2 linked regions of the Yarrowia lipolytica genome follow. The protein of the gene in region 1 purifies or fractionates together with the protein of each later gene. This does not show direct contact. Links are inferred from orthologs where the notes say so. Each region holds a gene or a part of one and is shown on either strand. Other genes may lie near its edges.

Region 1 (6,845 bases):
ATTGAGTAATCACGCTTTCTGCTTCAAATCCCTCTCCGGCTTCGCCCGTAAAAACCCACCGCACTACCTTTTCCCAATCCTCGTCAGATTCCTTGTTTCGTCGATACTTATGCTGTTTCAAGAGACCCTTGTTGATTCGCACTGAGAACACATGTTCGCCTTCGGACCCAGTAACCTCGATGTTGAGCTGTGTAAGATCGCCTTTAGACTGGAACACTGCATATCCGTAGCTGATAGATTCCGATGGAATTGTGAATGTGAACATACCGTGTACTGTGATGATGAGATGCAAACCCAGTATAGTACTCGTATTGTAGATTACAACACGAAATACGATCCTATATACAGTAGTCGGAGAGTGAGCCGCATATACCATGAACCCTTACCCAACACTACAGATAATTTTCGACCTGGCACTCTAAAATGCAGAATGTTGCTACATAGATAAGCCGGATGTCGATGATATTTTAACGTGGTGATATAGGAAGCGCTTTTTGAGTCGACAATTGTTCGTGTACTGTACGTAAATGCGAGCCCGAATGTGGTGATTCATGTGTCTTACAACAATACTGTCATGTAATAAGGTTTTATTAAGTGGTCCCAATACCAGAGTATAAGTATAAGTACAAGTACAGTACAAGTGTATGTATGTACATACTGTACAGTACCTACAGTTGTATGTACTTAAAAATTGATGTGTATTGTGTACTGTATGTACTGTACTCAGATGATGACGATTCTCACCGGCAAAACCCATAACATGTTGCGTCAAAGATAATCAAAAACATATCATTAAATTACATCATGCCAAGGTAGCCCGTCCACCAACATCTGTGGAGGCAGTGCCAGGCGGCATATCGCCACTTCGACCACTGACAAACTGGCTATAGATGCCCTTCAGCTTCAGGAGCTCCTTCTTACTGATGGAAGGAGAAGTCTCATCCAAAGACTTATTCATGTGTTGAGGTTTGATTACAACGACTGCCTTCTTCCGGGGCTTATCATCATCGTTATCGACACCCACAGACATGCCCTTAAACAAGGCTTCCAACTTAGCTGTGACACGAGCCTTCTCGGCTACTGCAGCTCGAGCATTCATTACCTCATTTTGGACAGCTGCAGGATCTTTCTTGGCATCTCCAAGGGTCGTCTGGAAAAATTCAAGACGCTTGTCTTCGAGCGCAGGGGTATCAGCTGCTGTGTCATCAGCAACATCCACAACTTCATGAATAGCCTCAAGATAAGCATTGAACATCACAGCCTGCAGATCAGCCCCAGAAAAGCCGTCGGTCCTTGACGCCACGTATTCCAATTCCACTTCCCCATCCAGGTGCATTTTTCCATCCACAATTGCTCGCAGGATATCCAGCCGGTCTTCATAAGAGGGCAGGTCACAGATAAGCATTTTATCCAGTCGACCAGGACGTAACAGTGCGGGGTCGATGAGGTCGGGTCGCGAAGTGGCAGCCAGAACATAAACACCATCGAGTCCCTCAGCACCATCCATCTGCGTAAGCATCTGATTAACCACTCGGTCAGTAACACCAGTGGAATCGTGTCCTCGCTTGGGAGCAATGGAGTCAAACTCATCAAAGAACAAGATGCAAGGTTTTGCAGCCTGAGCTCGCTCAAAGAGCTCTCGAACACTTTGTTCGGATGCACCAATGTACTTGTTCAGAATCTCAGGACCCTTAATAGAAATGAAGTTGAGACCACATTGCGCAGCAACTGCTGAGGCCAAGTAGGTTTTGCCACAACCAGGGTAACCGTAGAGAAGGAGACCAGAACGCAGACGAAGGGGACAAGATGCAAAAATAGGAGCATACTTGGTGGGCCATTCGAGGGTTTCCAAAAGAACTGCCTTGGTTTCTTTCAGACCACCGATGTCATTCCATTTGACGTTGGATTTTTGTAGCTTAACCCCTCGCAGAGATGATGGCACGAAGTCCTCTAGTGCTTTCATGAAGTCCGCGAGTTGGATTGAAGGGTTTTCAAGTCCAATTTCAATCTGTCTGAGAGCCATTTCATGCTGGGCTCGCTCACTCAGAGTCCACAAGTCCCCAGGCAGGTATCCATCGACCTGAGAAGCAATTTCGAGAACATCATTCTGTGAAAAGGAAACATTCTGGTCCATCAGCTTAACCGCCTCTGACAAGATGGCCAGACGAGCCTCCTTATCGGGAGATTTGAGATGGAAAAGCTCTTCAAACACATGGCCAGTCACAAGATTCATATGAAGGGACTCTTTGGCCTGTGCAGAAGCCACAACGGAAACATGGCGAGACTTCATGATGGGCAATGCCAACTCCAAAAATAGCTGCGTCAACTGTCTTGTTCGCGAAGAATCAGCGTGTTCGACTTCGGCAGGCATCAATGCATCAATATCATCCAAGAACAAGACTGAGGGGGAAAACCAGGATGCCTCAAGAAATGCCTTGGTGAGAATCTCTCTCACAGCCTGGACCCTGTCTTGGGCAATGAGACCGCAGGCAATGGAGACCGTGTGAGTGTGTGACACTTTACATTCCTTCTTGATGTGGTTCAGAACAGCACTTTTACCAGAGCCCCTGGATCCGTAAACCAGGCACCCAATAGAGTCACGAGACAGAACCTCGTTAATTTTGTTCAGCATATTGTCCAAGCCAACAACACGCTTGTCCTCAGATTCGATATTTGAAGGGGACAGGGACGATTCTGATCTTAGAATTTCAGAACCAGAAACAAACGGTATGGGCTCCTCGCCGAGGTAGCCTCCTTGGATCCAGCCCTCTGAGTTTTGCAAACCGATGACACCACCCAAAGGAAGCAGCTCGGGAATAGGAGGTAGGCGCTGAAAATTCGTAATAGGCCCTTCAAGCATCTGCAGCTTTTTGAGCTCTTCCAGCAAAGAGAACTGGTCGTCGGCTGAAACACCATCGTCGGCGTTCTTCTCTCCCTTCAATCGGAGTGATTTTTGCTCTGCAGCCCCCACTGTCTTAGTGATGAAACGATGAATCACCAGCGCTCCAGGCTTTTGAGAAAGAGGCTTAGATGCAGATTCAAATCTAATTACGTGGCCCACAGAGCTAGGGATCCCCAGTGCGTCGGCAAGTGCATAACTTAGCTTAGCATGACCAGTGGGAGAAGTAGTATCGTTAACGAGAGTCGCAACGATCTCGGAAGCAGGATTGATGATATCCGGAGGAACCTCAACCTTAGGCTCAGAAGAGGGTGGCTTGTTTTGAGACAAACTCTCCTCTGACTTTTCCTCTACTGCGATAGAGGCTGCTTGCTGAGGGGACGCTAAATTGGGCGGTGTAATGACCTTGATGGAAACATTTTTCAGCTGGTGAAACTCAGGGGGCAGCTGGGAGACATCCAGGGACACCTCCAAACGTAGATGGCCATCGAAGTCTTCACTAATAGCTCGCCTCAGAGCGTGGGGGCCTCGGCCACCTTTTCTCTTCTGAGATCCAGTAGATCTCGCACTTCCGGACCGTTTCTTCACTTGTTTCTCCTCCTTCTTTCGCTGCTTGGGAGCTACCACAACTTCAGAGTCTGGCGATAGCTTGGCGAATCCTGCTGCTCCTAAATCTGGCTCGATTCGAATAACCTTCAGCGTAGCAGACGTGGTGGAGGACGGGTATACCGTGACTGGCTGGTTGGGGGATACAGCTCGAACCTGATTAATCATCCGAGACTCAAGGTATGCAGCATGTAGTTCGACAATTTCCCAGTCAGCCACGGTGACAGGTTCCAAGTGAATGGTGTGTGCGATCTTGGGATTCAGCTGAATGTCAATGACCACCTGAGTATTGGGCAGTAGATCGATGGATTTGGCAAAAACCGGGTCGAGTTCAATCTTGTCTTTTCCAGAATAATCAGACTTGGATGTCATACCAGTCCATCCGACATAGGCAGTCTGTGTGGTTCTGGTTCCGGATACCGACGGTTTAGACTGCCATGACAGTGATAAAATGACATCTTGAATTGACTGCGTTAGTTTTTCCACGAGGCGTTCATTCGTTGGAGACCATTTTGGTTCTCAGATCAGCGACTCGTGTACAGGACCATCCGCTGAGGGCTTCCTCAAGAGTGTATCACTAATGTGATAGGTAGTCACCCAACAATTATGGGATATCTCAGGTCGTAACAGCAACTCTTCTGATCACCACTAAATGGTCTTGCCAAAAGAGACCATAGGATCTAGGATCGCTCTGGCTCTGGCCCAACGGTCTCATGATCTGTCCTTCATAGTTGATACTCACCACTCCACTGTTGAAAATTAGCGAGGAAAGCGATGTCGGAATGTTAACAAGCCCCGACCTTAAAGGCGCGTACCCTACTAGAGCTGAATGTGCCATGGTTCTGGAGGTGCGCGAGATGCTAGGCTTGTGATGAGAAGTGGCACCCCACTTGGGACAGATGTGGGGGAAACGTGAAAAGAACCTTAATTTTCAGAAAGAAATGCCGAGGTAAATTACCGACTATAGAGGGTGGATATTCTGATGAAGTGATAACAAGTACAATCTCAATGAGATTGTTTCTTACCAGATACGCGTAATTCAGAGCGCCTTCCTATAGCGTAACATTCCATTGAAGATCATGGGGCAATATGGAAAAGACCGGGACGACGCTTTCACAATGGACAGTGGAGTTAAACTTTCGGGAATACTTGGGGTCATCTATTTTGCGTTGGCAATTACTCATGATCATGTATCGGTAAGCTACAAGTAATTACTGGTACAAGTAGCTACTGTCCGTACAGTACTCTTACTGTGCTGTACATACGAATGCAGATTCAAGACCATATTGTCAGGTGCTATGGGTCTCCCGAAAAGTATTATCATAACCTGTCTACGATACATGATGCATGCGTGGCCTATGAGTACACCTGTACAGACGGCGAATACCAGTACAATACCGGTACAGTACTGTACTGTACAGTATGTACTCTGTACTTGTAGCATGTTCTACTGATTTATGATCCCAGGCATGCAATACTGTATGTATGTACTGTACTGTACTGTACATACTGTACTTGTCTGGAAATACTTGTAGGCATGTAGGGGTTGGGGGAGGACCCCATTCTGAGTTTTCACTAATAGAATCTGAGAATCTCGTTGTCGGAAGGTGTCCCTTTCAACTGATGTGTGAGCTGTTATCATATTACACAATATAGAATATAATTAGAAGTACCGGTACGAGTACAAGTAAGTAGCTATTGTACCTGTATGTACTGTACATACAGTAACTACTTGTACTACAGTAAGATAGTAAACGGTACGTTCATGATGTACAGTAAGTACGAGTACAGTACACATAGTCTAATCCACAAATCCACAATTAGAAACACTATCCCGCACCCACAGGCAACAGCGACTGAAAGGCACACAACGTGATGCAATTTCTGGTCATAGTGTCATCCGTTCTTGGGTGGACGTATTTTGCACTATGGAGCTTCTCCTTCTATCCTCCGATCTTGCTGAACATCAAATTGAAGTCTGTGGAAGGTATCTCACTCGATTTTCTCTACCTCAACACACTTGGGTACATTTGCTACACGATATCAACAGTGCTCCTCTATTACAATCACACAATTCGGGAGCAATATGCTGCACGTCATTCTGATCCTTCGGGTGTTAAACATTACCCACTCGTCCGTCTCAACGACGTGTGGTTTGGCATTCACGGTTGCTTCCTCACCCTCCTGACACTCAGTCAAGTGTACTTTTGGGGCTTTAGTCGATCACCACTACAGCGGTTGTCCAAATGGGGCCTATCATTGCTAATCTTCGGTATCGGAATATCACTCGGAACGGCGCTTCTTGTGTATCTGTTCGGCAATTCGGACCCCAGCATTGGACTACAATGGTTGGATGTTACATATGTCACAGGATCCGTCAAGGTTCTCATGAGCACCAGTAAATACTTCCCGCAACTTCTATGGAACTTCCGACGTAAGTCCACGAAGGGATGGTCAATTGTTTCCATTTTGTGTGATTTCGGAGGAGGCATTTTATCGTTGGCACAGCTAATCTTGGATGGTTATATCAATCACGATTATGAGGGTATCTTCAAGAATGTGCCAAAGCTTCTATTATCATTGGTAAGTATTGATTTCTACCGAGACCTGCAGAGCTCTCTCAACTAACACAGATCACGTTAATTTTCGACATCATGTTCATGCTACAGCATTACGTCTGGTACAACGACAGTAATTTCCAAGTAAGTCCAGGAGGCATAGAAAGCCAAAACCACCACTACCACAATCAGCATCATCGTCATCATCATCATCATCATCATCATCGCGAGCACAGCAATCACCACCGCCCATCCTCGCAGAGATTGGGCTACGGTTCTGTGAGCGAAGACAGCGAAGAAGAGCCCAGCCGACTGATGCTGGCCTGAATCGGGGGAAACTAACTTAGCTACCAAAGGTGGAGTAGGTACCTCCATAGATTAGAAAGACAATGCGCTTCTCAAGTTGAACTTGCGTGGTGTAAATGGTGTTCGTGTATATTAAGCTATGTTGTCATGCCCTTCGCCTGACGACTGATTTCACTGTGGCACCATCAAGGTGTGATGGCTTGAAATCCCTACTAGAAAGCAGTCCAGCACTCTCATAGATTCTATGATACTCCTGGTCTTGCGGCAACCCCAGGCGAGTCCACATTTCTCGGACATCACTTATGAGTTGTTGGCCACCAGCTGCAGAAAATGTATTCACCATGATAACTTGTCGAGAGAAATACTCAGACAAAACCTTTGAGAAGTCCTTGAGGATCTGATACATGTCTTCTGCAGATAGACACTTCCTCATAATTCCAAGATATTTGTCCATCGTCTGAATAGGAAGAGACAGC
Region 2 (4,250 bases), on another chromosome or scaffold:
CGAGTTTCCATCTCACCGCCGTCGCGCTCTGCCAGGTCCCCTGTGGAAAGCCATCGTACATCTCTCTAGGAGCGGAGTTCCCTCATCATGGCGGTCCAAGGCGCAAGACTGGGGAAATTCCCGAAACGCAAGACAGGTTGTTGGTGATAATTCCAACAGACCTTCAATCGACACTTTTAACGGGCTTTGGCTAACGGTAACCCGTGTGTTTTCCAAACTGGGCCTGTCCAAAACAGTACGGTACATACTACGCAGTACATACTGTACTATACCCAGTTCTGTCTCTGACTACGGAAGTAGAACATTTGGAGTTTGTCAGTAGTAACGTCATGTTATTCAACCAAGCGCCTTTAAGTGAATCCTCTGTCTTCGATCTGAGCCATCTTGCATCACTTCTCTGAGAAGTCCGAACGCGAATTTCTTTCCAGAATCGTGACATGGTCTCTCGACTTGATCTTGCCGCTCAGACTTCGGATTCAGGCTAAACAGGAAGAGCTGCCTAGTTCTATATACTATTCACAGGCGTGGCAATATCGGCACCGACTTGTTCAAATCAGCCCAAAACGGATTTGATGCTCCACGATATCAGTCTAGGTACCAATAATGGTCGTCAGAATGGAGAAATGTCCCGAGCATCTATGTCCCCTAGTAGAGTAGTGCAGAATAGCTAAAAAAAAATTGATCACGTCTTACCACTACAGTAGCATTAAATAAATTCCTCTATATGCCTGCACTAACATAAAGATCCACCTTATACATCCTAGTACACCATGAACACCGTCTGATCCATGGTCCAACCGAACACTCGAAGGTGAGCTACCGTTCACTGTTCGATTTCGGCATTTCATCACGTCATCTCTGCACTATCATCACTGTATCCTAACATTTACTCCTTTTCCTTTTCCTTTTCCTTCTCCAAGGCAGCCAACTGCCAGGCGGGAATGCTAGCCTTGGGGGCGGGCTTCTTCACGGCGCTGTTGCCGGGCTCGGGCACAAAAGGCTCGGGCTCCTGGATGGGGGAGGGGGCGCTGGAAATGGCCGAGTTGGGCACGGTAGAGGTGCTCGAAGAGGACATGGAAGCAGGCTGGGGAATCATAGGCACAGCTCCTGCGGGAGTGGGGATAAAGTCGTCTCGGTCAGCAGGAACGGTGCTGCTTGAAGACACATTGTGCACGGGAGAGCCGGGAGTCACAGGTGCGGGAGCAGCAGCTGGAACGGCAGGAGACGCCTTTCGAGTGAGGTAGGAGGAGGGAGGAGGAATGGGAGGCAGCTTGGGTCCAGAGCTGGCTGCGGTTCGGGTGCTGAGCAGCTGCTTGAGCGACTTGAGCTCGCTCTGAATGTCGGCCAGACCCTGTTCCTGCGAATCCTTGAGCTTGTCAATGTTCTTGGGCAGTCTGTCTCTGATTCGCTCCACCTCGGCGGTCACAAGCTTCATCTCGTCGTCACGCTTCTTGGTCTGCGATTTGAGCTGGTCGATGGTCTCCTCCACGCCCTTGAGCGCGTCTGTGACCCGCTTGGCCACCTCTACCTGGCTGTTCTTGACCTCCTCTGTGTCCTGCTGCACCTGGTCGAGCAGGCCCTGCACACGGGCAAACTCCGCTTCCAGAGCCTCCTTGTCGGCCTCGAGAGACGGAGGGGTGGGGGGCAGGATGAGAGGCATCAGGTATCGCTTTGCCACCGTGTACAGGCCAAATCCAACACCAACAGTGACGGTGGCCATGATGAATACATCCTTCCAATCCCGTTCAGGAAGAGGAGGAGCCGATTGGAATGCATAGGAGGCAGGCACGGTTGGAGCAGCGCCCCCGTGACTCACCACACTTCCAGGATGACTTTGGGCCGAGCCCGATCCAGCCCGCTTGAGAGCCTCCTCAATCTCCTCAGGAGTCATATCCTTGGACTCCAGAAACTCGATCCGCTTGGCGAGCGGGGCAGTGGCTGCCTGAGGATCGTTCAGGAACGCCACCGCACTTTGCACTAGATCTTCTCGAGGTGCCATGTGTTGTGTAGAGAGACAAGAGGGAATCATAAGAGGAGCTGATGTGGGGTGCGTTTTCGGGGTTAGGGTCCAAGATGATAGATGAGACGTGGAATTACTTGGAAAGTGGGTATTTTTGATTTTTGAAACTACCGCAATGTTAAGAAAAATCTGCTGAATTCAAATCAGTTGTCCTTTTCCAAATCCGAGCCCGAAAAGTCGAGATAAGTGCACCTCCCCATTTCCCAGCGCCGGAATCAAAGTTCCCCATTTACCGAGGCTCAAAATCACAACGGAAAAACACATGTGGGGGAAAAAGTAGGGTAACTTGAAAACCAACGGTCCAGCTCAGATGCACTACGAGTGCAGTACTGTACAGTACAGTACCGGTATGAGTAATCACGTGACATTCACGTGACATTCACGTGATAAAACCGGACCTGGAGGAGTCGATATTGGACGTAGCCACCAGTATAGCGTGCTACTTGCCAAATAACGTCCACTATCAAAAAATGAAATAAAAATGAAAATAAAAATGAAAATAAAACTCCTATGCTTACATAAGCGCAGCTCCCCCAATGTATGGCATAAAGTGCTCGTATGGGTTCGAGTGTACCACAAGAATCTGAGGAATAGGAGCTAAGCAGGAACTTCAAAATACGGGTCACATGAACTGAACAAAAGAGGGTCTCAAAAAACCTCCGACTTTTGAATTAAAACATTGCCCTCCACTGTCTCAGTGTACCCACCCTAGGGTCTACTACTTGTAGGATTCAGCTAACTGGGGTAGATAACAAAGTATTATGGGGAAAACATGTCGTCCTTGTTCAGTTTTTTGCCGCGAGTCCACGGGTCAACTCCGTTTGTTAATACATGCATTAACAGCACTTCATTTCTTCACTTTCTAAACTGTTCTCTGATGAATCAGGCGAGACACCCACCCACCAATACCAACGTGGTAATTATCGAATACGGGAGTCTACAGTCACATATACTGCATTGATATATTCCTTGGGGCCTAAAGAATGCAGTGATCAACTCCTCGTATTCGTCAGGTCACCGAGAGAGTTGGTTGGACCCTCTTTCCTCTCGCCGCTGCACATGAAGACAACCTTGACAACTTCTTCAGCGTTGTTCGGACAAAAATAAACACTTGACTAACTGTTGTTGGTATTCCTTCCCCTTGAATTAGTGCGCTTCTGGATGGCGGAGATGGAACGCTGGGGTTTATTTTGGCACTAGTGCTGAAAAATGACCTGAACGACGCTAGCACCTGCATATTTGTGATCATCTCCGTGGAAGTGCTAGACAGTACTTGTGGGCCCACAGAGAGCAGTATTTAGCCCATGGTAGGGTTTCTTCGTGTCCGGTAATGCAAACTAGAGACAAAAAAGGTGCTTTGTGGGCAACCACAAGGCTAGTTTGGACTCATCGCAGGGCTGTACTAATGAGTATCGCGCTTAGAGCACAAGGAGGTTCGGGCAGATCAGATACAATTGTCGGTTTATTATTTAGACTTGCTTAACTACAAGTAGACACTTCAATCCGCCATCATTGTTGGTAAGAATGCCAGAAACCAATATGAGGTTCAACAGGGGGTGAGGTGAAAGAAATGGAGGTAAGGGGTTGAGGTTCAGGGATAAGAAGTTTCAAAGGATAATATAGGACGATAAAGAGAATAAAGAACTCTCCATGATCGCAACTGGCTTGTATTGTTTTATATCTTCGTCTCTTGCTGTCATGGAGAGGTAGAAAAGTGATGCTAGCTTTTGTTACAGAAGAGATACAAACAAGAGAAGTTCACTGCTGTGATTGTCCAACGTTTGCGATTGTAATAAGCCCTCATTTTCGTTCACCAGTGGTCTGCATCAGAAACTTGCCCTGGAATTCATGTTTTCTAAAAAACTCATAACTGTCCACCACAAACGAAGCTCTATCTGCGAGGAGACCGATCCTGATAACCGCCTTGGCTTGTAGATTGGCTCTGTTTGAGTCCCGTATCTCAGATCGTATCGAGTTCATTCCTCCGACTCAGTTATCGTTATTATACCCGCCCTTCCTGAGACAAGTACAAGCAATACGACCGGTCATGCTCCCCACGGAGCATTAAAGTGGAGTTTGAATCTATTCCGCTTGTTCCGCGCGTATTCAGGGTGGCACTTATTCCTCTACATGCCCCTGGGCCATCTCTGTGAGACTCTTTCGGTGCCATAACGCCTTGAGACAGCTTTCTGACGTCATTCCATAGCAACCAGTACATTGTGGATTGAAC

The links. The genes of interacting proteins can lie anywhere in the genome.
Region 2: the proteins of YALI1_C21682g (region 1) and YALI1_E11587g purify together in Saccharomyces cerevisiae (affinity purification with western blotting; 3 studies listed by BioGRID, with this or other methods). This does not show direct contact. The link is inferred for Yarrowia lipolytica from reciprocal best matches to the Saccharomyces cerevisiae genes PEX1 and PEX14.

Annotation. Positions count from the first base shown.
Region 1 is NC_090772.1:2,165,756-2,172,600, reverse strand, and holds YALI1_C21682g (uncharacterized protein), read right to left. Parts: upstream 4,344-6,845; coding exon 4,248-4,343; intron 3,974-4,247; coding exon 803-3,973; downstream 1-802. Other genes in the region: YALI1_C21722g (uncharacterized protein), read right to left, coding at 1-376; YALI1_C21664g (uncharacterized protein), read left to right, coding at 5,381-6,088, 6,139-6,390; YALI1_C21639g (uncharacterized protein), read right to left, coding at 6,515-6,845. UniProt on the Saccharomyces cerevisiae protein: Component of the PEX1-PEX6 AAA ATPase complex, a protein dislocase complex that mediates the ATP-dependent extraction of the PEX5 receptor from peroxisomal membranes, an essential step for PEX5 recycling.
Region 2 is NC_090774.1:1,156,484-1,160,733, reverse strand, and holds YALI1_E11587g (uncharacterized protein), read right to left. Parts: upstream 2,030-4,250; coding exon 887-2,029; downstream 1-886. Other genes in the region: YALI1_E11565g (uncharacterized protein), read right to left, coding at 3,821-3,979, 4,029-4,190. UniProt on the Saccharomyces cerevisiae protein: Component of the PEX13-PEX14 docking complex, a translocon channel that specifically mediates the import of peroxisomal cargo proteins bound to PEX5 or PEX21 receptors.